4 linked regions of the Stegostoma tigrinum genome follow. The protein of the gene in region 4 binds, or shares a complex with, the protein of the main gene of each other region. Links are inferred from orthologs where the notes say so. Each region holds a gene or a part of one and is shown on either strand. Other genes may lie near its edges. The genes, in order: A-kinase anchor protein 17A-like, ttf2, ppp1r8a and c29h9orf78.

The links.
Region 1: c29h9orf78 (region 4) and A-kinase anchor protein 17A-like share a complex: the UniProt entries of both Homo sapiens proteins name them as parts of the spliceosome. The link is inferred for Stegostoma tigrinum from reciprocal best matches to the Homo sapiens genes C9orf78 and AKAP17A.
Region 2: c29h9orf78 (region 4) and ttf2 share a complex: the UniProt entries of both Homo sapiens proteins name them as parts of the spliceosome. The link is inferred for Stegostoma tigrinum from reciprocal best matches to the Homo sapiens genes C9orf78 and TTF2.
Region 3: c29h9orf78 (region 4) and ppp1r8a share a complex: the UniProt entries of both Homo sapiens proteins name them as parts of the spliceosome. The link is inferred for Stegostoma tigrinum from reciprocal best matches to the Homo sapiens genes C9orf78 and PPP1R8.

What each region holds. Positions count from the first base shown.
Region 1 is NC_081359.1:100,885,726-100,892,656, reverse strand, and holds the start of A-kinase anchor protein 17A-like, read right to left. Parts: upstream 3,015-6,931; 5' UTR 2,819-3,014; intron 1-2,818. UniProt on the Homo sapiens protein: Splice factor regulating alternative splice site selection for certain mRNA precursors. Mediates regulation of pre-mRNA splicing in a PKA-dependent manner.
Region 2 is NC_081365.1:39,213,610-39,220,747, forward strand, and holds the start of ttf2 (transcription termination factor 2), read right to left. Parts: upstream 3,013-7,138; 5' UTR 2,988-3,012; coding exon 2,939-2,987; intron 88-2,938; exon of another isoform or gene 1-87. UniProt on the Homo sapiens protein: DsDNA-dependent ATPase which acts as a transcription termination factor by coupling ATP hydrolysis with removal of RNA polymerase II from the DNA template. May contribute to mitotic transcription repression. May also be involved in pre-mRNA splicing.
Region 3 is NC_081377.1:38,910,817-38,918,271, forward strand, and holds the start of ppp1r8a (protein phosphatase 1, regulatory subunit 8a), read right to left. Parts: upstream 3,021-7,455; 5' UTR 2,955-3,020; coding exon 2,911-2,954; intron 1-2,910. UniProt on the Homo sapiens protein: Inhibitor subunit of the major nuclear protein phosphatase-1 (PP-1). It has RNA-binding activity but does not cleave RNA and may target PP-1 to RNA-associated substrates. May also be involved in pre-mRNA splicing.
Region 4 is NC_081382.1:39,298,341-39,305,403, forward strand, and holds the start of c29h9orf78 (splicing factor C9orf78 homolog), read left to right. Parts: upstream 1-4,059; 5' UTR 4,060-4,196; coding exon 4,197-4,276; intron 4,277-7,063. UniProt on the Homo sapiens protein: Plays a role in pre-mRNA splicing by promoting usage of the upstream 3'-splice site at alternative NAGNAG splice sites; these are sites featuring alternative acceptor motifs separated by only a few nucleotides. May also modulate exon inclusion events.

The sequences.
Region 1 (6,931 bases), on a different chromosome or scaffold from region 4:
TTCATGTCAATTAGCAAGACATTCTGACCTTAAAGAGATGAGCAAAGTTAAATGGATCTTTTCTATTTTCTAACAGAAAAATACAATGGTAAATTTTGGTTTAATACTCTCAACATTACAAGTTTGCCTCAGAGGCAATACTGTGGATCACACACGACAGATCCTTAAAAATACTTAACATTGTCATTTAGCAATACATTAGTGGATGCTCTTGAGCTTTGCCTCTGGTGTGAGTACTCAGAAACTTTCCTGTTAATGTACTTGGGAGATTGGAGCCATGGGTGAGGGTTGACAACTTTTTGAAGTTCCACCTAAAATAGCAGATTTCTGCAGCTGCAGGTGGAACTGCATCAGATGTTGGTGGCATCCAAATAAAAATGGTACATTATCAACAATTTAGCACATGTAGATTAATAAAGGTATGAATAACTTCAGCATCGTATTTGAACCATGGAATCATACAGCATAGAAGGGCAAAACTTGGCTCTTTGAAAAAGCCAATTAATTGAACTCCCTTGCTCTTTGCTCATATCAGTTCAATTTTTCTTGATTTCAAGCACACATCCAATGCCAACTCCTTGTTCAAAGCTACTATTAAATATCCTTTCATTACTGACAGGCAGTGTCTTGCAGATGATCACCACACACCATGTAAAGAACTCATCTTTTTTTGCCAACTGTCACTTACAAACATACATAATCAGTACCTCTTCTGGTTCTCAACCTTCCTATGGTTCCCTATATCTAAATCAATCAAAATTCCTCAATTTTGAAACCCTCTACTGAACCTCCACTTATACTTCTGGGCATTAAAGAGAGCAACACAAGCTTCTTCATTCCTTCTGCATAATTTAAAGACCTCATCCCCAATATTGCTCCAGTAAATTTTCTCAGATCATTCTCTAATGGATCTGACATCCTTCCATAAAACCTGAGGACCAGAACAATTTTTAAATATTCTTTCACAGGGCTTCGCTGGCTGAACGATCATTTATTACCCACACCGAATTGGCCAAAAAGGTAGTCGTGAATTGCCACACACCATACAATCCATGTTTAATATGTACATCCACAGAGGTTTGTCGAACAGACACAAGACAAGCTGAGGCCAATGGTTTGTAAAGGTTTAGTATTAATCCCTTACTCCCAAATCCTTTCATCAAGTCAAGGGAAGTCAGCTGGCATTTTAAGTATCAGAGATAATGGGAACTGCAGATGCTGGAGATTCCAAGATAATAAAATGTGAGGCTGGATGAACACAGCAGGCCAAGCAGCATCTCAGGAGCACAAAAGCTGACGTTTCGGGCCTAGACCCTCTCTGATGAAGGGTCTAGGCCCGAAACGTCAGCTTTTGTGCTCCTGAGATGCTGCTTGGCCTGCTGTGTTCATCCAGCCTCACATTTTATTATCTTGGCATTTTAAGTAGCCTTCTCAACTTTTTCAAAGTTAATTTTGTTCTTGAGATATTGACACAGCAGGTTAGCCCAGAATTTATTGCCCATCTCCACTTTAACAGAGGTGGTGGTTAGATACTTTCTTGAACTTGCCTCCAGTCCATGCAATATAGAGACCTCTAAGAAATATTTTCTTATATTTCATACAGGGAATGTAGATTCTGCTGACCAAGTCAATATTATTTTCCAATCCATAATTATCATAGTGAAAATGGTGGTGAGCTGAACTTCTTGAACCGCTGCAGTCCATTTGCTTTAGGTAGATCCACAATGTTGCCAGAGACTTTTAACAAATTGACACCTGAGAAACAGTGATATACTTCCAAGTCAGATTGATGTGTATTTGAAAAGAACATATGCTATCACATTCAACTAATTTTCCAATGCCTTTCAATTCAGAAGAGAGTCATCATACTAGACTTGAAACATCTACTCTGTTTCTCTTTCCACAACTGCTGCCTGGCTTGCATTGCTAGCCTTTGCAGTAGTTTGCTTTTACCTCCAAGTCTGTGTGTATATATCCCACTCCTTGCCCCATATCTCTCTACTCCTGCACCTCCTAGAAAACTGCATCATTTGGTTTCTATTAACCAATCTCTATCATATTGTAAAACAAGTAACTGTGGATGCCAGAGATCTGAAACAAAACCATATTTTTCCATCCAAACTCAGCAGGTCTGGCAGCATCTCTCTGCCTTCTTCTCTCCTCGTGCTGCCAGACCTCCCAAGCTTCTCCAACAATTTCTGTTTGTTGTCTCAATAAACCCACAGCCATCTGGAAAGACAATGACAGCAGATACATGGGAACACCACCACCTGAAAATTCCCCTTCAAAATCACTCACCATCCAGACCAGAAATGTTCCTTTTGTGTCACTGAGTCAAAATCCTGGAATTCCCTCCCGAAAGGTATTTAAGTCGACTTTCAAGCATATGGATGCATTGGTTCAAGAAGGCAGCTTACCACCACCACAAATCAAAGTCAACCAGGGACGGGCAATGAAGAGTTTTTAAAAAAAAAACAAAACTGCAGATGCCAGAAATCAGAAACAAAACAAAAAGCAGGAATTGCTGGAGAAACTCAACAGGTCTGGCAGCATCTGTGGAGAGAGAAAGCTGAGTTATAACATTTCGGGTCCTTCCTCAGAACTTAAGACAGGCAACAGTAATTGCTGGGCCCAGCCAGCAACGTCCCTCGAGTGAATAATTTAAAAATAAACTCTTATACAAAACACAAACATGACGTGATCAAAGCCTGCGACTCGGACAGAAATGTCCTAGTGAATTAAGACAACGCTGCGGCGGCTCCGAGATATGGAGGCAGGGGTTCGTGGCCTTGAGGGCAGCTGGTTTTCAGCGACCTACCTTTTCGTGAAGCTGCAGCGCGGGGGCGGGGGGAACGTTAGGCCGAGGGCCGGCAAACTGCTAGAGGCCTCCGGCCAGCAGCAACAACCACCTCCAGCACCACAGCGACCCAGCTCATAAAGGACCGTTGTGACCGACCAGCCAACCCGCCTGATGATTCCACCCGGCAGGGCCATCACCACGCCTCAAACCTATTTCGCGGAGATCTTCCTCTCGCGTGTTGCTGAAGGAAGGCGCTTCCCAGAGAGCGCAGTTTTCGCCCAACCGGCGTCTCACCTCACGCGGAGTTTTTGTCAGGCAACTAATAGACGGCTTAAGGGACTTTTCATCGGGGCGGGAGGCCGGGCGCACAAGTCTTCACGATTGACTGCCCACTGCCGCCATCTTTGTGAGGGGCAACGATGGTGCCGAAAGTACACGAGGGTGACCGATTATATCCGAGTGCTGACACCACGGGAATGAGAACATGTTGCCGTGATAATGGGAACTGCAGATGCTGGAGAATCCAAGATAATAAAGTGTGGAGCTGGATGAACACAGCAGGCCCAGCAGCATCTCAGGAGCACAAAAGCTGATGTTTCGGGCCTAGACCCTTCATCATACCCCGTAACTCACATGCTCCACTTGCTGCACTTTCTAATGACAGAGCTAGTTGCAGAGACTGTTTAAAGTCCAGTTGTGCTTCAGGAATAGGTGCTTTTGCACAGATATGTCATCAATCCCACATATCAAATGATCTCTCACATCTCACTAAGGATTAAATCAAGGTCACATGCCTCTGCCAAGCCCAGCAGCATCTCAGGAGCACAAAAGCTGACGTTTCGAGCCTAGACCCTTCATCAGAGAGGGGGATGGGGAGAGGGTTCTGGAATAAATAGGGAGAGAGGTGGAGGCGGACCGAAGATGGATAGAGGAGAGTATAGGTGGGGAGGTAGGAAGGGGATAGGTCAGTCCAGGGAAGGCGGACAGGTCAAGGAGGTGGGATGAGGTAGTAGGTAGGAAATGGAGGTGCGGCTTGGGGTGGGAGGAAGGGATGGGTGAGAGGAAGAACAGGTTAGGGAGGCAGAGACAGGTTGGACTGGTTTTGGGATGCAGTGGGTGGAGGGGAAGAGCTGGGCTGGTTGTGTGGTGCAGTGGGGGGAGGGGACGAACTGGGCTGGGTTTGGGATGCAGTGGGGGAAGGGGAGATTTTGAGGCTGGTGAAGTCCACATTGATACCATTGGGCTGCAGGGTTCCCAAGCGGAATATGAGTTGCTGTTCCTGCAACCTTCGGGTGGCATCATTGCGGCACTGCAGGAGGCCCATGATGGGCATGTCATCTAAAGAATGGGAGGGCGAGTGGAAATGGTTTGCGACTGGGAGGTGCAGTTGTTTATTGCGAACCGAGCGGAGGTGTTCTGCAAAGCGGTCCCCAAGCCTCCGTTTGGTTTCCCCAATGTAGAGGAAGCCACACCGAGTACAATGGATGCAGTACACCACATTGGCAGATGTGCAGGTGAACCTCTGCTTAATACGGAAAGTCATCTTGGGGCCTGGGATAGGGGTGAGGGAGGAGGTGTGGGGGCAAGTGTAGCATTTCCTGCGGTTACAGGGGAGGTGCCGGGTGTGGTGGGGTTGGAGGGCAGTGTGGAGCGAACAAGGGAGTCACGGAGAGAGTGGTCTCTCTGGAAAGCAGACAAGGATGGGGATGGAAAATTGTCTTGGGTGGTGGGGTCGGATTGTAGATGGCAGAAGTGTTGGAGGACACCAACACCTTCCACCCCAACCTTCAGTTCACCTGAGCCAACTACAGCACATCCCTCACCTTCCTGGACCACTCAGTCTCCATCTCAGGCAACCAGCTTGTAACTGATGTCCATTTCAAGCCCAACGACTCCCACAGCTACCTAGAATACACCTCCTCCCACCCACCCTCCTGCAAAAATTCCATCCCCTATTCCCAATTCCTCCGCCTCCGCCGCATCTGCTCCCACGATGAGGCATTCCACTCCCGCACATCCCAGATGTCTTCAAGGACCACAACTTTCCCCCCACAGTGGTCGAGAACGCCCTTGACAGCGTCTCCTGCATTTCCCACAACACATCCCTCACACCCCGCCCCCACCACAACCGCCCAAAGAGGATCCCCCTCGTTCTCACACACCACCCCACCAACCTCCGGATACAATGCATCATCCTCCGACACCTCCGCTATCTACAATCCGACCCCAACACCCAAGACATTTTTCCATCCCCACCCTTGTCTGCTTTCTGGAGAGATCACTCTCTCCGTGACTCCCTTGTTCGCTCCACACTGCCCTCCAACCCCACCACACCTGGCACCTTCCCCTGCAACCACAGGAAATGCTACACTTGCCCTCACACCTCCTCCCTCACCCCTATCCCAGGCCCCAAGATGACTATCCATATTAAGCAGAGGTTCACCTGCACATCTGCCAATGTGGTATACTGCATCCATTGTACTCTGTGTGGCTACCTCTACATTGGGGAAACCAAGCGGAGGCTTGGGGACCGCTTTGCAGAACACCTCCGCTCGGTTTGCAATAAACAACTGCACCTCCCAGTCGCAAACCATTTCCACTACCCCTCCCATTCTTTAGATGACATGCCCATCATGGGCCTCCTGCAGTGCCACAATGATGCCGCCCGAAGGTTCCAGGAACAGCAACTCATATTCCGCTTGGGAACCCCGCAGCCCAATGGTATCAATGTGGACTTTACCAGCTTCAAAATCTCCCCTTCCCCCACTGCATCCCAAACCCAGCCCAGTTCGTCCCCTCCTCCCACTGCACCACACAACCAGCCCAGCTCTTCCCCTCCACCCACTGCATCCCAAAACTAGTCCAACCTGTCTCTGCTTCCCTAACCTGTTCTTCCTCTCACCCCAAGCCGCACCTCCATCTCCTACCTACTAACCTCATCCCACTCCTTGACCTGTCCGTCTTCCCTGGACTGACCTATCCCCTCCCTACCTCCCCACTTTTACTCTCCTCTCCACCTATCTTCTTTTCTCTCCATTTTCGGTCCGTCTCCCCCCCTCTCCCTATTTATTCCAGAATCCTCACCCCATCCCCCTCTCTGATGAAGGGTCTAGGCCCAAAACGTCAGCTTTTGTGCTCCTGAGATGCTGCTGGGCCTGCTGTGTTCATCCAGCCTCACATTTTATTATCTTGGATTCTCCAGCATCTGCAGTTCCCATTATCACATGCCTTTGCCAGTTGTCTTAACCTGGTCAAAACTCCCACGGCGGGTTCCCTTGGTTCTTGAATTGCCGAATAAAACTGGCAGCATCTTAGAATTAATACAGACGAGGGGTTATAATATTCCTTTACTAAATCCGCCAACTCTTGAAAGGTTTTACTATCTAGTGCCTTAAGAAACATTGGTCTCCTAATAACCAGTAAATCTCCGGTTCCACAAGCTGTCGTGAGAATTACTTATTGGTTTTCATCTGCCCAAATGTCAACTGCCCAGAAAAAATAATGCATTCTTTCCAGATATTGGACCCAGTCTGCGAAGGCAGGATCGAATGAATCAAGCATCTCAAACATTTGCACGGTGGTAAAAATGCTTATCCCACTCAAAGACGACTGCTGTAAGTGAATTTCTTCAGGAGCATATTTTATCTCTCGTCGTCACTGAAATAACTGCACAAAAGCTCGTAAACTTTCATCAGATCATAATTTATACACACATATATATTACTTGACGCTGATCCAGCTACCTCAGAGCCAGCTTTCTGAGTGAACAGTACGTCTGACACTCCTGTTTCTACCTTCCAGCTGGGACTCCCTGATTGGACCAGATTAAAAGCCCCAATCAGGTTAGACCTCAGAGAAAGGATTGCAGCAATTTCAGAGGTATACAGGTTCATTTTTACTACTCTGCTCATTTTATCTACTGTAACTACTGTAATTATGATTGAACTGAACTGTAATAAAATTAAAATAAAATTGTACCGAGCTGCATTGTGATTTTTTGGAACTTCTCTGCTGTTTTTTAGGAATTAAAACCTGTTGGCCACATGTTCTCAATAACAAAGTGTGAAGCTGGATGAACACAGCAGGTCAAGCAGCATCTCAGCAGCACAAAAGCTGACGTTTCGGGCCTAG
Region 2 (7,138 bases), on a different chromosome or scaffold from region 4:
GTGTTTGGCAATCCAGAAGACAAGGACTATGAAGAAGTATGAAAGACAACTGTTTTTGCACCGCAACCTCTGCCAGCAAGCTCACAGGTGATGTTCACTCATGACTTGGTTTTTTGGCAGTCTTTTGAATGTAGCGAGAGTAATTTAGAAGTGGCTGAGTCACTCTGGTATAGTTGGTCATGCTGCACATGTTCACAGTTAGTAACATTTAAGATGTTTTGTGTAATTGGAGTCCTTGGAAGCTAGATTGATGGGATTAGTCTGGGTATCAGCAGATCAGTTTTCAGTGCATTTCGGGTAGTCTTGGGCTGGAAGGCAGTATCATTTGAGGTTTGAGTTCAGGTACTCTTTTTGATTAAGTATAGAGAAGATTGTGCATTAAATAGGCCTAAATGCCTTGAACCTGTCAATTTGTCAAGGCCTGTAAACAGAGACTGGTGAGGGCAGAGCAATGGACGTTGTTTACATGGACTTTTAGTAAAGCTTTCAACAAGGTTCTGCATGGTGGACTAATTAGTAAAGTTAGATCATGTGGGATTCAAGGTGAATTTGTCAGTTGCATACATAATTGGCTGGAAACAGAAGGGCAGTGGAGGGTTACTTTTCAGCCTGCAGGCCTGTCACCAGCGGTATTCTGCAGGGATTGTTTCTGGGGCCTCTCTTGTTTGTCAATTATATAAATGATTTGGATCAGAATATAGAAGGCATGGTTAGTAAATTTGCAGACAAGGCCAAAGTTAGTGGCATAGTAGACAGTTTTTAAGAAGGTTTTCTGAGATGGAAAAGGGATCTTGACCAAATAGATCAATGGGCTGAAAAATGGCAGATCGCATTCAATCTGGATAAATGTGAGGTATTGCATTTTGGTACAACAAAAAAACAGAAGGACTTAGACACCTAATGGTAGGGCCTTAAGTAGTGTCATAGAACAGAGAGACCATGGGGTTCAGGTGCATAATTCTTTGAAGTTTGCGTCACAATAGACAGGGTGGTTAAAAAGACATTTGGCGTGCTTGCCTTCATAGCACAGTCCTTTGAGTATAGGAGTTTGGAGGTCATGTTGAGGTTGTCCAGGACATTGGTGAGGCCTCTTCTGGAATACTGTATCCAGTTCTGGTTGCCCATTTATAGGAAGAATATTTTTAAGCTGGAGAGGGTTCAGTAGAGATTTATCAGGGTTTTACCAGGTGTGGAAGATTGAATTTAGAAAGAGAGAATGGAGAATGAGACTTTTTCCACTGGAGCCTAGAAGGTTGAGAGGCAACCTTATAAAAGTTTCCAGAATATTGAGGGATATAGAGAGTTAGTAGTTGTTGTCTTTTTGCTAAGATGGGGAATTTCAAGACTATGGGGCACCTTAAGTTGGGAGTAGAGAGATTTTTTAAAAAGACATGAGGGGCATTTTTTTTTTTGAGGATGGTTTACACGTGGAATGAACCTCCTGAGGAAGTGGTGGATTGCTGTGTTTAAAAGACTTTTGGATAAATACATGAATTAGAAAGGTATGGAGGGATACGGGTCAGGAGCAGGCAGGTGAGACTAGTTTAGTTTGGTGTTCACTAATGTCCTTTAGGGAAGGAAACTGCCATCCTTACTGGGTCTGGCCTACATGTGACTCCAGACCCACAGCAATGTGGTTGACTCTGAACTGCCCTCTGGGCAATTAGGGATGAGTAATAAATGCTATCTAGCTGACAACATCCTCATCTCGTTAATGCATGAACAAAAAAAGATTGTTTGGCATGGACTAGTTAGATCGAAGGGCCTGTTTCCATGCTGCATGACTCTATAACTAAAAATACCTTGCAATATTTATTTGGGAAGGGCTGTACTTTTCTCAATAGAGTAAAAACTGCAATATGAAAATTTAAATAATAGAACATTTCTTATGTGCGCAGGTACTTCTGGTTTTAGGAAGAAATAGTAATCACAGGCTAGGCCAGCATTTCTTGCCTGTTGGAGAAGCTAGCAGTAATCTTCCTTATGGGACTGCTACAGTCCTAGGGGCATGAGGATCCCCACAATGCTGGTAAGAAGGAAGTTCCAGGATTTTGCCCGAATGACGGTGAAGGGGCAGTCATATAGTTCCAAGTCAGGGTGGTGAATGGCTTGGAGGCAAAGTTACAGGTGATGTGTCCCTTCAGCTGCTGCTCTTGTCCTTCTGGATGTTCAAGATTATGGGCTTGGAAGTTGCTGTCTAAGGAGCCTCAGTGAATTGTTGCAGTGCATATTTTAGATGGTACACACTGCTGTCAAAGTGCGTCTGTGTTGTAAGGAATGAATTTTGAAGTTGCTGGTTAGGCTAGCTGTCAAGTAAGCTGCATTTTCTAACTCAATGAAATGGCATGATAGGTGAACAGGAAAAGGGTGGTGAGTGGAAGTATTTGATATCAAGTTATAAAGAGCCATGAGGGATGGCCAGAGGACCGCAAGTTATATGAGTTGGCATGAGTGGGGCATTGGGAGTATATGTGGATGAGGGGAACTGAGGGGTGAATGCTGGAAGAATGTTTCTTATTTTCTTCCCTTTCGGAGAGGTAAGGTTCCCCTTCGGATATGGTTCCGGCACACCTTTTGTGAGGGTAACGGTGCTCTCTGGGACTGTTTGAAAGGCATATGTGTAGATAAAAAGTTTAACTCATTAGAGCTTGCAATGTTGTCAAGAAACTGTCCAAAAGGGATAAAAATAAAATGAGTGTTTGAGAGTGCTTGTTTACCTAAGACCATTATAGGATTTGTGTCAAGTGACTGATTTCCCAAACTATCATTTTCACAGTTGGGTGCTTATTGATTGAAAGTTTACTTCCTTCTCAATGAAAATGTTTGTTGATACAAACTTTTAAGAACTTAAAAGTTTTTTTTCGTTTGTTGACACCAAAGTATCAGACCATTAATGTTTGTTTATATAAGTCATGTAACACTTCAGTAAATTGCTTACTTTCAAAGGGATTTGTTGAAGTATGGTAGATTTGTTGAGCTAGATTCATTCAGACCCTTGGCATCCCAGTCTGGCCAGAACTGGGCATCCTCTTAGGCTTCTCTCAGGTCACCTGTCCTGACTTGCGATCCAAGCTGCCTCCAAAACTCGGACTGAAAATTCTGAAATGTGAGCAGCCGTTCTTAAGTGGTGGTTTCATGGAGCCCGATTCTTTTCCTCTGCCCCAGGATAGAAAATCAAGGCTTTAGTAATCAATTTAGTTAATCAAGTCTCGGCAAAACCCTCTGTTAATGTGTATATCTTGCAGAGATTCTATTTGTTCATGCCTGTAGCAGCTATTGCTTCAAAACAAGTAATTATAGTCTGATGTCAGAAACACATGATAAAGTGGTTTAATTCAGTGGGAATTCTAGCTTTTCATGTTCCCTAGCGGTTTGATTCTGTGTTATCATCTCACTGTCAGGAATACAGATATTGCTCGTTTACAGCTGTAAGCATGCTGGCAGAGTCTGTCTTTTTTGAAAAAAAGTGAAATAGTTGATCAGCTTCAAAACAAAAAGTCCACTTGGAAAGGAAAAACTGGTAATTGCATTATCAAAAAATTACATTGTCATAACATCATGCACAGAGCATTATGTTGGTAAATGTTTGCTGTCATGGCAACAAGTAAATTATTTCCATCTTCGACAGCTATACTCACCATATTTGATGGTGAAATTTGGTGATCAAGTCTCTGGTTGCTTGGTGATAAGGTTACACATTGTACACCTGGCTTAGAAGTGTCCACATGTGGATGGTATGCCTACAGTGAAAGCCACACTACCACTTGAAACTTCATGGAACAAACCAAACATATTTGAAAACAAATATTCAGTTGCCTAGACAACTTCTAGGGCCAGGGAGCTTGCCAGTTCTTATGGAACATTGCTCCAACTTCATGAACTCATGGATACTGCATCCTTCATTACCTTACTCTCTCAATCTCTTAGCCCCTATCCCTCCTTCAGAGATGGAAGAGAAAGAGGGTCTCGGTAGGGTGAGTGCAAAAATGAAAAGGAAGGAAGGGAGCACCTGGAACCTCTTTGCTCCAGATGAGGTATCCTTGAATAGTTAATCATACTTCAGTTCTCAGAAAATCTCATTTATTGCAAAATTTCTCAACTATCACAGTTCTGGGCGCCCTATTATAGGAAAGATGTGGATGCTTTGGAGAGGGTTCAGAGGAGGTTTACCAGGATGCTGCCTGGACTGGAGGGCTTATCTTATGAAGAGAGGTTGACTGAGCTCGGTCTCTTTTCATTGGAGAAAAGGAGGAGGAGAGGGGACCTAATTGAGGTATACAAGATAATGAGAGGCATAGATAGAGTTGATAGCCAGAGACTATTTCCCAGGGCAGAAATGGCTAGCACGAGGGGTCATAGTTTTAAGCTGGTTGGTGGAAAGTATAGAGGGGATGTCAGAGGCAGGTTCTTTACGCAGAGAGTTGTGAGAGCATGGAATGCGTTGCCAGCAGCAGTTGTGGAAGCAAGGTCATTGGGGTCATTTAAGAGACTGCTGGACATGTATATGGTCACAGAAATTTGAGGGTGCATACATGAGGATCAATGGTCGGCGCAACATTGTGGGCTGAAGGGCCTGTTCTGTGCTGTACTGTTCTATGTTCTATCAGTCTGTCTCTGAAGGATCATTGCCACATTTTTTGACCAACATTCAAAAATAAAAGCACACAGAAAATTCTTTAAACTTTATCAAATAGCTCTCTTCAATGATATATTTTGACAATTCAAAGGCAATTGTGGATGAACAATACATCATGGTCTTGCCAATTGCCTACATCCTGCAAAAGAATAAAGAAAATAAACATGCTTCTCTTTTAAGATTTGCAAGTTAGCTGTGTATTGTGCTAACCATGTGTAATTCTGGAATTACTGCTGAGTGTGCAAACTATCAGTGGCACGTTTTGTGCTCAGCTACTTACTGCAATTGTTGAATGAACCAGGGTAGCACAAAATTTACATGGTGCCTGCCACAACTTAATCAAGCACAGGGTAATCACATGTCATGATCCATGTAGCTGCTAGCAGTCTTAATTGAATTATTAGCCCTAGATAACCTAATCTGGTTGGAGTCAAACCTAGCACAAGGGAAGATATTTGGGGTTGTTGGAAATCAACCGTTTCAGCCTCAGGCCATCAGTACATGAGTTCCTCAGGGCAAGTATTCTGAATCAACCTGTTTGGATATGTTGTGAGAGTTTTGACTTAAACCCAGACATTCTTGCCTAGAGGCAGGAACTCTACCACTGTGAGTTCCTCAGGGTAGTGTCCTGGATTCAGTCATTTTCAGCAGCTTCATAAGTGACCTTCTCCCTGTCATAAAGTAAAAAGTGGGGATGTTCACTGATGAATTTTCGATGTTCAGCACCATTGATTAATTCCTCAGATACCGAAGCAGTCCATGTCCATATGCAACGACACCTGGACAAGAACTAGGCTTGAGTTGATAAATAGCAAGTACATTCACACCACCTGTACCAGGCAATGACCATTTCTCAAATAATTGAATCATCATCTTGATATACAATTGCATTATCATCACTGAAAGTCACACTATCAACATCATGGGGGTCACCATTGACTAGAAACTGAACTACAGTAATTATATAAATACCGAGCTGGTACTGAGCTACAAGAGCAGGTTAGACCATAGGAATTCTATGTGAATTACAGATTTCCTGTCTTCCTGATGGGTAACTGCCATCAACATTGCACGTGTTTATTCGGCATTCGCCTGGATGTGTGCAACTTGAATATCACTCAGGAAGCTTAATGCCATCCAGAACAAAGTAAACTACTTGATCTACCACCTTGCATGTTCAGTCTTTGCATCTCAGATGCACAGTGGCAGATGTGTATATCATGTACAAGATGCTTGACATAACGTCACCGAAGCTCCTCCAGTAGCACCTTTCACATTCGTTGACTGCCCCATCTAGACAATAAACGTGTTAGATTCCTGGGAACCTCACTACTAACATGTTCTGATTTAGAAATATATCACCGTAGTTTAGCTGGAATTGGGTTAAAATCCTGGAACTGCCTCTCACGACACTCTTGGTGTCCCTATGTCCCAAGAACTACACTATCACCTTCATGGCAGTGGCAGATACTGGTTATGGTAATAACTGCTGGTCTGAGCAGTGACATCCAAACCCATGAGCGAATAAAAAATAACATACTGATATGCTCAGGCCAGATTTACACCAACTCCACTTTGATTATTGATTCTTTCTTATAATTGATTTACTGAAATACGTCAAATTCTATGTAATAATTTGAGGACATATTTAGATTAGATTCCCTACAGTGTGGAAACAGGCCCTTTTGCCCAACAAGTACACACCACCCTTCAGAGCATCCCACCCAAACCCTTCCCCCTATAACCCACACACCCCTGAACACTACGGGCAATTTAGCATGGCCAATCCACCTAACCTGCACATCTTTGGACTGTGGGAGGAAACTGGAGGAAACCCGCGCAGACACGGGGAGAATGTGCAAACTCTACACAGTCACCCAAGTCTGGAATCGAGCCTGGGTCCCTGGTGCTGTGAGGCTGCAGTGCTAACCACTGAGCTACCATGCCGCCCTAATTTTTTTATTCAACATCACCCAATTGCTTGATGTTGAATAAAAAAAATTTACGTATGCAGTTTTTTCAAAATCTTCACTTGTAAAAATGCAGCATTCAGAAATTTGTCATTTGACAAGATACGTGATCAGTAGATGCCTAAAACTTATTCAATATTGTAAAAAAAATGCTTACACTTACAGATGTGCATAATGTATAAGGTAGTAAGTAGCTGAAAGGACTAATTGACATAACAAGATAAATTCCTCAGACTAGGACAAAGGACCATTCTTTGGAGGAGCTAACCAGCGTAATACTTACTGGTTGTTGTTCCAGTGTTAAATTTTGTGCAGCTAAACAGTAAGGTGTGTTTACTCTTAATTCTCACCTGAGTTCCGGCAACGGACTATCATAATTAATACAGAAAGTGCTAGAGAAACCGAGCAGGTCTGGCAGCATTTATGGAACTGCAAACAGGGTTAACATTTGGAGTCTACAAAATGTGAGGCTGGATGAACACAGCAGGCCAAGCAGCATCTCAGGAGCACAAAAGCTGACGTTTCGGGCCTA
Region 3 (7,455 bases), on a different chromosome or scaffold from region 4:
CAGGGATATGTTTCCATTAAGACTGGTTCTGCCCCTAAATTTTCTACACTATAGTATGGTGAGCGCGAGAAAATTCCATGTGATGTACATATGAACTAAGGAAAAAACGCTTGAAATGCAGAGAAACGCAGAGAGATGAACATAGATTCAATCTTTACTAACCTAGTAGCTACAGGAAAAAGTACTTTGAGCCTATAACTGGGATGAAGTAGTGGTGACTTGACAAGTGATTTGAAAGGTGATCATTTATGACACAGGAGTGATATCAAACCGTTCTGAATTTTTCTACCAGCTCTAGGGACGAAGCATTCAAATAAATCTGACTAGTCTTGGGTACAACCATTTTTTAAAAATTCATTCATGGACTAGATTGGCATTAACTCTTAACTGCCTCTGGGCAATCAATCACATCACTGGATCTGGAGAAACGTGTAGGCCAGACCAGGTAAGGATAGCAGTTTCCTTCCCTGAGGGACAGTAGGGAATAAGATAGGTTTTTCCAAAGGGTTCACGGCACGGAAACGAGAGTGGGGAGTGGGGCAGGAGGGTGGAAGGAGGAGCATGGGGGAGCGGGGGAAGAAGAGATGGGGTATGGGGGGAGTGGGGAGAGAGGAAGAGATGGGGGAGCAGGGAGAAGAGATGGGGGAGCCGGGGGGAAGAGAAGAGATGGGGGCGGAGGGTGGTGGGAATGGGGGGTGGAGATGGAGAAGTGGGGGCGGGGGGGGGGTGATGGTAGAGATGGCGCAGCCGGTGGGGGGGGGGGGGGGGGAGAGGGGGAGGATGGAGATGGTGGAGCAGGGGTGGGTGGAGACGGTGGAGGGGGGGGGTGGAGACGGTGGAGGGGGGGGGTGGAGACGGTGGAGGGGGGGGGTGGAGACGGTGGAGGGGGGGGGTGGAGACGGTGGAGGGGGGGGGTGGAGACGGTGGAGGGGGGGGGTGGAGACGGTGGAGGGGGGGGGTGGAGACGGTGGAGGGGGGGGGTGGAGACGGTGGAGGGGGGGGGTGGAGACGGTGGAGGGGGGGGGTGGAGACGGTGGAGGGGGGGGGTGGAGACGGTGGAGGGGGGGGGTGGAGACGGTGGAGGGGGGGGGTGGAGACGGTGGAGGGGGGGGGTGGAGACGGTGGAGGGGGGGGTGGAGACGGTGGAGGGGGGGGGTGGAGACGGTGGAGGGGGGGGGTGGAGACGGTGGAGGGGGGGGGTGGAGACGGTGGAGGGGGGGGGTGGAGACGGTGGAGGGGGGGGGTGGAGACGGTGGAGGGGGGGGTGGAGACGGTGGAGGGGGGGGGTGGAGACGGTGGAGGGGGGGGTGGAGACGGTGGAGGGGGGGGGTGGAGACGGTGGAGGGGGGGGGTGGAGACGGTGGGGGGGGGGGTGGAGACGGTGGAGGGGGGGGGTGGAGACGGTGGAGGGGGGGGGGTGGAGACGGTGGAGGGGGGGGGTGGAGACGGTGGGGGGGGGGGTGGAGACGGTGGAGGGGGGGGGTGGAGACGGTGGAGGGGGGGGGTGGAGACGGTGGAGGGGGGGGGTGGAGACGGTGGAGGGGGGGGGTGGAGACGGTGGAGGGGGGGGGTGGAGACGGTGGAGGGGGGGGGTGGAGACGGTGGAGGGGGGGGGTGGAGACGGTGGAGGGGGGGGTGGAGACGGTGGAGGGGGGGGGTGGAGACGGTGGAGGGGGGGGGTGGAGACGGTGGAGGGGGGGGTGGAGACGGTGGAGGGGGGGGTGGAGACGGTGGAGGGGGGGGTGGAGACGGTGGAGGGGGGGGTGGAGACGGTGGAGGGGGGGGTGGAGACGGTGGAGGGGGGGGTGGAGACGGGGGGGGTGGAGACGGTGGAGGGGGGGGTGGAGACGGTGGAGGGGGGGGTGGAGACGGTGGAGGGGGGGGTGGAGACGGTGGAGGGGGGGGTGGAGACGGTGGAGGGGGGGGTGGAGACGGTGGAGGGGGGGTGGAGACGGTGGAGGGGGGGGTGGAGACGGTGGAGGGGGGGGTGGAGACGGTGGAGGGGGGGGTGGAGACGGTGGAGGGGGGGGTGGAGACGGTGGAGGGGGGGGTGGAGACGGTGGAGGGGGGGTGGAGACGGTGGAGGGGGGGTGGAGACGGTGGAGGGGGGGTGGAGACGGTGGAGGGGGGGTGGAGACGGTGGAGGGGGGGTGGAGACGGTGGAGGGGGGGGTGGAGACGGTGGAGGGGGGGGTGGAGACGGTGGAGGGGGGGGTGGAGACGGTGGAGGGGGGGTGGAGACGGTGGAGGGGGGGTGGAGACGGTGGAGAGGGGGGGGTGGAGACGGTGGAGAGGGGGGGGTGGAGACGGTGGAGAGGGGGGGGTGGAGACGGTGGAGGGGGGGGTGGAGACGGTGGAGGGGGGGGTGGAGACGGTGGAGAGGGGGGGGTGGAGACGGTGGAGAGGGGGGGGTGGAGACGGTGGAGAGGGGGGGGTGGAGACGGTGGAGAGGGGGGGGTGGAGACGGTGGAGAGGGGGGGGTGGAGACGGTGGAGAGGGGGGGGTGGAGACGGTGGAGAGGGGGGGGTGGAGACGGTGGAGGGGGGGGGGTGGAGACGGTGGAGAGGGGGGGGGGTGGAGACGGTGGGGATGGAGATGGTGGAGCCGGGGTGGTTTGGGGGGAGGATAGGGATAGTCGGAGATGGGGGCGGAAATGAAACGGGTGGGAGGAAGAGAGAGGGAGGGGAGAGAGGGGGGGACACGGGGGTTGAAGTGGGAGGGAGGAGTCGGGTGGGGTGGGAGGAGTGGTCCCGCCGCTGCAGCGCAACTACACACCGCGGCCTAGTGAGTCAGGCTGCAGCCTCCGACACAAAGCGCAGCCACGGGGGAAGCTGCCTATCTGCAATCGAAAGGTTGCGAGGTGCCTTCCACGTCCCCGGTAGATCGGGGCAGCATGGCTATACACACTCACCATGTCGGACAGTCAAAGACGGGCTTGAGCTGAATCGGCTGCATTTGAATCACATCGAGACAAGGCTGCACCGGATTCTGGGTAACAGGGAGTGGGCGGGGCTTCCCAAAGCCCCCTGCGCATGCTAACAAGCCCACCGCATGTACCCTGGGAAATGTAGTCCACCAGCAGTCGCCACAAGACCCGTCGGGTTCTGAACTACAAATCCCACTTGCCTTTGCGAACAGAATTTGAGAGGGGGAAAACAAGGTCAAATGAACCACGGGGCGCTGTTTACAGGTATCAGACAGAATGTTGGAGCTAGACGCTTCATCAGAGAGGGTTCTGGAATAAATAGGGAGAGGCGGACCGAAGATGGAGAGGACAGTATAAGTGAGGAGGTAGGATATGGAGGTGTGAAGAAAGGAGGGATGGGTGAGAAGAAGAACAGGTTAGGGAGGCAGAGACAGGCCGAGCTGGTGTTGGGATGCAGCGGGGGGGAAGGGGATGAGCTGGGCTGGTTGTGTGGTGCATTTGGGGGGATGGGACGTGCCCAGCTCATCCCCCCCCCCCGCTGCACCACACAACCAGCCCAGCTCGGCCCCGCCTCCCTAACCTGTTCTTTCTCTCACCCATCCCTTCCTCCCACCCCAAGCCGCACCTCCATCTCCTACCTACTAACCTCATCCCACCTCCTTGACCTGTCCGTCTTCCCTGGACTGACCTATCCCCTCCCTACCTCCCCACCTATACTCTCTCCACCTATCTTCTTTTCTCTCCATCTTCGGTCCGCCTCCCCCTCCCTCCCTATTTATTCCAGAACCCTCTCGCTATCCCCCTCTCTGATGAAGGGTCTAGGCCCAAAACATCAGCTTTTGTGCTCCTGAGATGCTGCTTGGCCTGCTGTGTTCATCCAGCTCCACACTTTATTATCTTGGATTCTCCAGCATCTGCAGTTCCCATTATCTCAGAATGTTGGAGCTGTTGGACTTATATTGACTATATTGGTAATTCATTCTTCTATGGAATTTAAAAGAAAGAGGAAATCCTATTGAGGTGAATAAGATAATAGAGAGGATTGATAAATCAGGTGTGGAGAGGATGTTCCCCTCCGTTTTTTTGGGAGCAATCTAGAATGAGAGATTTAGGCTGAAGGGTATCAAATTGAGAAATTACCTCTCTCAAAGGGTTCAGACTCTTCTAATTCACTACCGGAGATCATGGTGGAAGCCAAGAAATTGAGTAAATTTAAGGGGGAAGATAAACAGATTTTTAACTAATTACAAAGTAAAGGGTTTTGGGGAGCAGGCAGGAAAGGGGAGTTGAGGCTGAAATATAAGATCAGTCTTGATCATATTAAATAGCAGAGCAGGCTCAGGTGGCTGAGTTGGGTACTCTGACAGACCTTCTGTTCACAAGCTACCATGTTCCCCTTTCTGAATAGTCCTTTTGTTGCTAATTTGTTAATACATCGCATGGAATGCAATGGCTCAAGAGATGGGCATTATCCCAGGAAAGCCTTGAAATTGGACAGGAGGTCACAATTTCAGGCACACGGGAATGTGAGAGAATATATGATGAACTGCAGTAGTGTTTAGTCTGTGTTACTTTTAGTTTGTATACAGTGTGAAAGTCTTAAAACTTTAAATCTTGTATGATTCTTTCAGGCATTCACTCTCAAAATAAAGTTTTCAGTCTTTCTTAGGCTCTCAACGAGATGGACTCAATGGACTTCATGAAAATAAAAACAATTTAGAAAGTAATATAAGTCACTACAAACCTGCCTGGCCATAGGATGGCTCACATTAGCGAGAGATGACTGGTGATGGCTTAACCTGAGGGTCACCACATCTTAGGGGAGGGAAGAGGCTAAGAAGGTGATTCTTTCAAGGTAACCTCAGCTGGTGAAGGAATTAAAACCACTCTGTTGGTATCATTCTGCAAGGCAAACCAGCTGTCCAGCCAACTAAGCTAATTTACCAAAGGTGAGGCAGAAGATAGGCATATCTGCAAAACTCCTAGTAGCTTGTTTAGAAAAAAGCATTACCCACAGATGGATTTCTCTGCATTCATTCCAATGGTGTTAATTCCCATTTGTGACATTTCTATTTTCCTTATGACTTTGCCAACTAAGACTGCCAATTAGTGCCAATTTATAAGCATGCTGACAGCTATGCAGTCAGCACCTGCTTACAATTGGGTGAAACTGACAAGACATATTGCAATTCAAGTACTTACAGTTGGCCAAGAAAGAGAATATCTGACAGGGTAGGACTGGGTTCAAACACGATCCTGAGTTGAATTGCCAATGTTCTGCACCAGTCCCTTGCTGTAAATGTTTTCCTTAACAAAATAAATTTAACTTTGGCAGGAATTGAAACAGATAAGTAAACTTAATCTTAAGGGAATGGAAACAAGAAGTCTGAAATAAGATACGTTTTTCTCTGGTGAGACATGAAAGGTGTGACTCATTAGACACACTTCTATTTTGTCACTAAAGTTAGTGAGCAGTGGAAATTAAAGAAACGAGGTTATGTATTTAAAATTGAGAATTTGAAGAAAATGTGCTGAATGGGATCCCAAAAGTCATATTAGATTCCCTACAGTGTGGAAACAGGCCCTTTTGGCCCAACAAGTCCATACTGCCCCTTGAAGCATTCCACCCAGACCCATCCCCATCCCCCTATAACCCACAAAGCCCTGAACACTATGGGCAATTTAGCTTGGCCACTCCACTTAACCTACACATCTTTGGACTGTGGGAGGAAACCCACACAGACAGTTGCCTGAGGCGGGAATTGAACCCGGGTCCCTGGCACTGTGACGCTGCAGTGCTAGCCACTGAGCCACTGTGCAATCCCTGTAATTCAGCATTCATTCAGATTTAGTTAGTTTATGGATGTATTGGAATGACATGTTTGGCTTCAGTGATCCTGGGCTGGAAGGGAATAAAATGACACTAGAATTCTTATCCCGATTCTTAAACAAGGGCTTAAAAATCATAGAATAACAAAACATAGAAGGGGGCTATTCGGCCCTATTTGGCTATGTGGCTCTTTAATACAATCATCCAAATAACATCACACTCCTGTCCCTGTAATCATTTTCATTGAAATATTTACCCCCTTCTCTTTTGAAAGTTTTGTTGAATCTGTTTCCCACCATCCTTTCCAGCCATACTTTCCAGATCACAATATCTCACTGAGTCAACATCATGATTTTGACATTTCCGTCAAATCTAAATCTCCCTGAACGTACATATTTGGACATTGGAGTAAGATAACACTGCACTTAGCAGTGATACCTTGTGTAGTCATATAGGCTGCAGATGCACATGGAAACTTGGGCAAAAGCCTGAAGAATTGAAAGAGCAACGGTCTTTTCAGGAGGCTGGGGAGACTCTACAGAAAGCCATGGCACAGAAGGATTTGGGAATCCTGTAGCATGAATTATGAAAAAAACCCCTAGCATCCAAGTTCAGCGGGTAATAGGGAAAGCAAACAGATTGTTGACCTTTATTTAGAGGGAATGGAGTATAAAAATAGGGAACAAACACAGAGTACGTGGGAGAAAATCAGCAGGTCTTGCAGCGCCTGTGGACAGAGAAACAGAGTAAATGTTTCAAGTCAGTATCATTCTTCGAAGAGTTAACATTAATGTTTCTTTCTCCTTAAATGCTGCCAGACCTGCTGAGCTTCTGCAGTATGCTCTGTGGTTGATTCAGATTTCCAATACCTGCAGTATTTTGCTGTTTGAAAAATGGGGAGCTGTTGCTGAAACAATATAAGGCACCAGTCAGAACACAGCTGGAATACTGTGAAGCAATTTTGATTCCCTTACCTAAGGAGATTTCCTCCTGATTGGATGCAGTCCACAGCAGGTTCACTGAATCAATCCTGGGTATGGAGCAGGTTTCTCATGAGGAGAAATTGAGTAGGTTGGGCTTACACTTGTTGGAATTCAGAAGGATGGGAGAACTTATTGAAATGCAAGATTCTTGTGGAATTTGACAGAGTAAATGTAGACAGATTGTTTCCCCTTGTGGATGAATCGAGGACTAGAGGGCTTATCTAGGCCCGAAACGTCAGCTTTTGTGCTCCTGAGATGCTGCTTGGCCTGCTGTGTTCATCTAGCTCCACACTTGGATTCTCCAGCATCTGCAGTTCCCATTATCTCTGATATAATCAGTAAGGGATTGACCATTGAGACAGATAAGGAAGAAGTTTTTGCTCTGAGGGCAATGAATTCTTCAGTGGAATTCTTTACAGTAGAGACAGCTGTTGAATCTTAAATATGTAGAAGGCGTGAAGAATTTAATAAATATGGATCTATTTTTTGAATTTACAATTAGCTAGCTCTGTGTTGATTTGGTAAAGGATAAAGGATATACATAACCCAGGAAGGTCAGTCACATCTTGCTTAAGAGGCTTCTCTATGTCATCAAAGCAAATGGTATTAGTTCTAACACTGAGCTGGATTATAAACTGGCTAGAAGCCTTGAGGCCAGAAGTAATTGTAAATGGATTCAAATCTGTTTGGAGACGCCTGTGCTAAAGGGATCAGTCT
Region 4 (7,063 bases):
GGATGGAAGACGACCTCCAACGCCATAGGCCGCCGCTGAGCCTTCTGGGAGATGTAGTTCGTACCGATGCGCCTCCCGCTTTCCCGGATGACGTTCGGTTGCTGTGGCGTCATTTGGGACACACCCCCGAGCGGTCGGATAGTGCGCATGTGCTATGTGGCCACGCCCTGGAATGTCCAGGACTCATGGGCCAGGCCATTCAGCCCAAAAAGTTTATGCTAGCAAAACAATCAGCTTCTTACTTTAATTAAAACAAAAGTCTGTTTTGAAGATAATAAAATGTGAGGGTGGATGAACACAGCAGGCCCAGCAGCATCTCAGGAGCACAAAAGCTGACGTTTCGGGCCTAGACCCTTCATCAGAGAGGGGGATGGGGTGAGGGTTCTGGAATAAATAGGGAGAGGCGGACTGAAGATGGAGAGAAAAGAAGATAGGTGGGGAGGTAGGGCGGGGATAGGTCAGTCCAGGTAAGACGGACAGGTGAAGGAGGTGGGATGAGGTTAGTAGGTAGGAGATGGAGGTGCGGCTTGGGGTGGGTCTGTTTTGAAGAAGGGTTTCAGAGATAGTAGGAACTGCAGATGCTGGAGAATCTGAGGTAACAAGGTGTAGAGCTGGATGAGCACAGCAGGCCAAGCAGCATCAAAGGAGCAGGAAAGCTGATGTTTTGGGCCTAGACCCTTCAGAAGGGTTATCTCTGAAGAAGGGTAACAGGTCTTGAGAGCTAGCTCTGCTTTCTCTCTACAGATGCTGCTAGACCTGCCAATTTTCTCAAGAACTCTCCGTTTTTCATTATTTTCCACCTTTATTCTTTCTTAGCAGGTGAATGTCACTGGCACACATCAGGCATTCTGAAACACGCATTTATTACCCATTCCCAATTGTGCTCTGTCTAAATGGCTTGCAAAGCCATTTTCAGAAATTTCCACAAGATTTGGAATGTGATTCCACAAAAACCAGTTCAGGCCAAACATTACATGATTTCAAGAAGCTATTGGACATAGGACTTGGGGGAGAAAGGATTGAAGGGTATGGGGAAAAAGTGAAAACGGATTATTGAGTTAGATGATCAGCCATGATTATAATGATTGGCAGAGTAGCCCTAAGGTATCAAAAGACCTGCCCCTGCAGCTATTTTCTATTTTTATATGTAACATAGATCCTTAACAATAAAAAGGATTTATGGTGGCAAATCGACAAAATGCAACTCAAATGGTATCAGTGCACATTGCCATAATACATATCAGTTTCTAGTGCTCAGTCTTACTTCCCGTTTTGCTTCTGAATATTTCTTTCAAATGCAGAAAATAGGGTACTGCCATTTAAAACAGCCTTTGCGATCCATCTGCACGTGTCCACTTGCACTCATGACGTACCATTGGTGAAACCATGCAGCAGTGTCAAGTCTATGTGCATGTCCAAAAAAATTTTAAACAATTGCAAACCACATCTAATCTTTGTTGTTCTGTTGTATGTTAAGGCAATCATTGATAAAAAGCTGAAGAGGCTTCTGCCATAAAATTGAAAGGAAAGTGCTTAGATTGGGTACATGTAAAACCAAGAGACAGCTCTTAAGGGAGATCAGAGTTGGGTAAATGGAAGCAAAGTGCAATGGTTCTCTTCAAACGGAGAGGATCCGTACATTATAAAATTGCAATTTCCAGTATGCTGACAATTATCCAGCCTGTCCTCCCAAATGTAATTTCTTTAGGTCTTACTTATAAAACAGGCATGTTGTTGGATGAGAGTTAAAACCAAGACTCCAAATTTAGTGCTCCACCTACTGGTGGCATAGGCCACAATTGTAGCCCTATAATATCTACGGTTAACATCTACACTGCTCCAAACCAAAACACCAGTTTAGACCTGTGACTCTTCTTCACAACCCGACTCCTCACTTTGTCCTTTGTTCTGTGGTACGTTGCTCCGATCCAGGGCCAAGAGACAGGAATCACAAAACCTGGTGCTGCTCCTGGGAACGTGGCTCCCAACCTGATCACAAAAAGTCCCACCTCCTGACCCAAGCACGGTTGGCCTCTTAAAGAGATAATGGGAACTGCAAATGCTGGAGAATTCCAAGATAATAGAATGTGAGGCTGGATGAACACAGCAGGCCAAGCAGCATCTCAGGAGCACAAAAGCTGACGTTTCGGGCCTAGACCCTTCATCAGACAGTCTGATGAAGGGTCTAGGCCCGAAACGTCAGCTTTTGTGCTCCTGAGATGCTGCTTGGCCTGCTGTGTTCATCCAGCCTCACATTTTATTATCTTGGCCTCTTAAAGCACCAGTCTCCGTTATTGGGCTCTGGTGTACACCCTTGTTCCAAGATGCCCTGACTTTCCCTTATGTTCCATTCCCTCTTTTTCTACACTACCAAAATCATCACTTTTCCAACAACTTGCAGTTCCAAAGAAACTCAAAACATTAACTGTGTTTATTCCTTTCCACAGATGCTGCCGGGCCTGCTGGGTTTCTCCAGCATGTTCTTATTTTATTCTGTCTTCTCAATATTTTTCAGTGGGACGAGGATGAAAGAAAAGGTCTGTGATAGAGTTGCAACAGGGAGAAATTGAATGACAGAAAATTTAATCCTGAGGGCTAAAGTGAAAGCGCTGAAAACCTATAAGGATCTGGATAACTATTTTTCCTAATTCTAATAAAAAGTCCAAGATCTCAAATCATTGGGGGGAATGTGGGCGGGCGTTGAATCTTGACAGAGTGGATGTGGAAAAGATGTTTCTTCTTGTGGGAGAATCTAGAACTAGAGGTCAGTCATTGAAAAAAAGAAAGAAATTTACATTTTTTTATTGTCACATGTACTCAAGTACAGGAGTACAGTGAAAAGTGTCAAATGTCACCAAGTTACCTTGGTATCTAGGTACAAAGTGATAGAGAGAAACAAAGTTAAAAGTTCAACATTACAGACCACCTCGAGAAAAATAAAGAGATAAGGTAATAGTTAACATTGAAGTTCTTCTTAATATTAAGTAGAAAAATAAAGAAATATTTAAAATTTCAACTGTCTTTCTTGAGCGCTTAGCCATGCTGGGGCCCCAATCTCCTCCACTTAGTTCGTTCTCTGGTGACCCTAGCAGCGTTTCCTCACCGCCGCTGACACAGATACTGGGGGACATCCCTCACCGCTCATTCCTCCCATGTTCTCATAGATGGTCCCATCTTCCTCAAAAGGCAGTATAAGCAGAGTCCTTGATTATCTTTAAAGCAGAGGGAGCTAAATTCTTGATAAGCAAGTAGGTGAGAGATTATCAGTGGTATGCAAGCATGTAATCAGAACACCACGATCCTACTGAATGGCAGAACAGGCTTGAGAGGTCGAGCATAATAATCCTGCTCCCATTATTTTATATATAGAAAATATTAATTAAGTATCTCTCTCTCTACACAAATACTTCAATAAACTGATGAGTTCAGATTGTGGTTGATCTTTTTACAACATGAAAGGTTAAGGAGATATACGCTGGGGACAAAAGACCACAAGAAATAGGAGATAGTAAGAACTGCCGATGCTGGAGTCAGAGATTAGACAGTGTTGAGCTGGAGGTACACAGCAAGCCAGGAAACATCAGAGAGGCAGGAACATTGACATTTCAGGTCAGGACCCTTCTTCAGAAAAATACATCAACTTTCTCGCTCCTCTGATGCTGCCTGACCTGCTGTGTTCCTCCAGCTCCACATTTTTTTTTTGTAAAAAGAAATAAGAGCAAGGATATTGCATTTGACAAAAACAGAAATTGCTGAAGAAACTCAACAGGCCCGCGGAGATAAGTAGGTGTAGACCTGGAGTAAACTTTGGATCCTGTGAGCCGCCTTCGCAACGGTCCTGAAACATCAACATCCTCTTTCTTTCCACAGAAACTGCTGACTTTCTCGAGAATCCAGTGTTTTGCTTCTTCGGGTGAGTTATTGAAGAAGGCGTGAGTATCCCTGCGGGGCGTGAGTATCTGTACTGCACAGACTGTGAGAATGGCAACATTGCGGGACTGGGTCACATGATGCCGTGCCCGCTGCACTGTGGGAAATGGAGTCCGGGAGTCGCCGGAACCTGTCCGTTGAACCGGAAGTTCCTCGGTCCGACCTCCGTTGTCAGTCTGCCGCGAAAGTCGGTGTGGTTTAGTGAGTAACGGGGTTTTGAAAAGAAACTGTGTTTGAGCTAAAAGAAGGTTGCACTGGGCCCCGGAATGCCGGCGGGGAAGAGCTACCGCAGGAGGAGAGAGGAAGAGTCGGATGAGGAGGATGAGCAGAGGGTGGTGGAGGTCAGGTGAGAGCCGAGGCTTCAGTGGTCCAGCTAGGCCTCTTGCCCTCAGCCCCAAAGAATAGCCCAGCCGGCGAGGTTCTTCAATCCATTTCTGAACTGTTAACTGCTTTAAGGGTTCAAGCTTCTGGAGAGGACAGTCTTTGTCTTTACGTGGCGCTATTTGTACTGCAGGAAACGCAGCATCAAGATTGTGCCCAGCAAACTCCCACACGAATGTGACGATAACAAACTATGTTGATTGAAGGATAAATATCGACCCAGAACCCGGGGAATAGTCAACAGATCTGGCAGCATCTATGGAGAGAGAGAGAGAGAGAACTGGAGTAACATTTTAAGTCTGATATCAGAGCCATATTTGACTTGAAACGTCAGCTCGTTTTATCTAACCACGGATGCTGTCTGACCTGCTCAGTATACCCAGAACGTTTCCAATATGTGTTCCAGACATGTTCAGTCTGCCAGTTAGTCACTGTTTATCTGCTGAATTTCGGATAGTTTTGCATTTGAGATAGAGCATCAGCCGGAGGATTGTGCTGACTGGCAGAGTGAGTTTGATGAGCTGAATATTCCACACCACCCATTTTTCTATGCTTTGATTTTCAGTTTTTATCTTCAATTTCCAGCACTTGCTTTGCTCTTACAATGGAGGAGCTTCCTTGCTCTTCAAAATAGCGGCCATTGGATATTAGTCCAGTCCAAAAATGTACAGGTTAGGTGGATTGGTGAAGTTCCTTGTGGAGTCCACGGTTGTGCAGGCTAGTTGGGTTAGCCATGGTAAATGTGGGATTATGGGGATAAAGTAGGAGTTGCTGTTTAGAGGGTTGGTGCAGATCTGATGACCTCTGCTTGCACTGCGGGGATTCTATCATTTGACATCTACCCAAGCAGGCACATGGTGTTTCTTGTCTCAACAGAGAAACAACACGTCCAACAGTCAGGCCGTCCCTTAGTATAACATTCAAGCTCCACCCTATGCTCTGGACCATAGCTGACTGCTGAAGTCTAAAACATCCTCTGAGTGAATGCATACAGTTTGGTGGCTGCCTCATGTTCAATACATAATTCAGTCTTCGTCCTCAAAAAATGCCTTTAACTCTGTGAAGATTGAAAATAGCCACAGTTGCCGAGGCTTTCGTCAAAACAGATTAATTCAGAGCCAGAAGTTGATTAATAGGGCCCCTCCAGCCTGCTGTGCCATTTGATAAGATTGCGTCCTCTACTCCACTTTCCTTTGTAGCTAATACTGTCTTATTAATCAAGAATCTTCTATTTCTGGCTTAAAAAATATTCAATGACCCAGCCTCCACTGCTCTCTGGCGAAAAGAACTCCACAGACTAACTAGTCTCTGAGTGAAAACAAATGTCGTCTCAAAAGTAGGAGAGCCTTTGTTTTTTAAACAAGTTTTCATCTTTTCTCTAAGGGCAATATCCTCTCCACATCCGTCCTGTCAAGCACTTACCCCTCCCCACCCCTGTGCAAACACAGTAAACGCACCACAATCTTGTATATTTCAATAAGATCACTTCTCAGCCTTCTGAATTCCAGTGTCAATGCTGCGAACTGTGTTGTTGATTTATGGTCATTCACAATCATGTCAATGTTTGTGAGACCACAGGCATCCACTTTATTCTCCCGGGATGGTTGTTAAAATAGTAAAGCAATGATTCAGATATTTTTGAGTCAACCTGTTTGTTACACAGTGCTAGAGCAGTTTGGACTTGAACCTGGGATCAGAGTTGCAAAAGCCCTGAAAAGCATTCATTTCTTCGTGGGTATTTTTAATCAACCTTTTGGAGATGTTATGACATGCCTCAGGTGTAGGTGAGATTTGAATCTAGGTTTTCTGGCTCAGATGCGTGGACACTTCCACTGCACCAAAAGAGCTCTTTAAGTTCTTTGTGGACTTCCCTGATTTTTTAAAAATCAGCCTGTTTAGCAATGTTAATACACACCTCTGGAGCTGGTGAGACTTGAACCTTGGCCTCCACAGTCCAGAAGTAGGGGCACTACCACTGCCAGAAGAGTCCTTTCATTTGTTTGTGGATTTTCCTGACTTATTTTTTCCAATCAACCTGGTCAGCAATGTTGTTACACACCACTGGAACAGGTGGGATTAAACCCTGTCCTCTTAGTCTAGGAGTAGGGACACTAGCTGCACCCAAGAGGCCCTGAGGGCTCCCTTGAAGCAGTTGTCCTTGTTTGCTTATCAGTGGTTGTTAGTTCGTTATGACTGAGTGGTCAAAAGACTCTTTCAGGGACGCAATTGACGGTTAAGTACATCACTATGAAACTAGCGTTTCTGGCTTGCCATGGGATGACAGCAGAATTCCTCCGTTAACACAGCATTAGTGAACTGAATTCAAAGTCTCAAAATGTGTCAGAGTCTCAACCAATATGAAAGCTTGCTCCAAGTTACAGTATCCTCTTAAAAGAGTTGGGAAGTAGGGACGGATGCATTGGTTTATTAGATGATCGTCATTTAGGTCTGGGTAATGGAGCACGGCATCATTTTTTGCTGAGCAAATGTTGGTTGTTTAGAATTATAGTTGCAGTGTCCTCTAGTGGTTACACTAATGTTATGAAAGATTTTGGTTTTTGCTTGCAGCCCAAATGCAGTGGAGTCAAATTTACAAGTGATACTAGCCTTCTTAAGTCAGTAACTGTGATCAGGCGGTTATCTCCACTGATGTATAATAAATTGCTTACAACATAAAAACATCCAAGAGCTTTTGTGCCAGAAGACCTGGATTCAAGTCCCATCTCTGCTGCAGAGGTGTGTCATAACACAT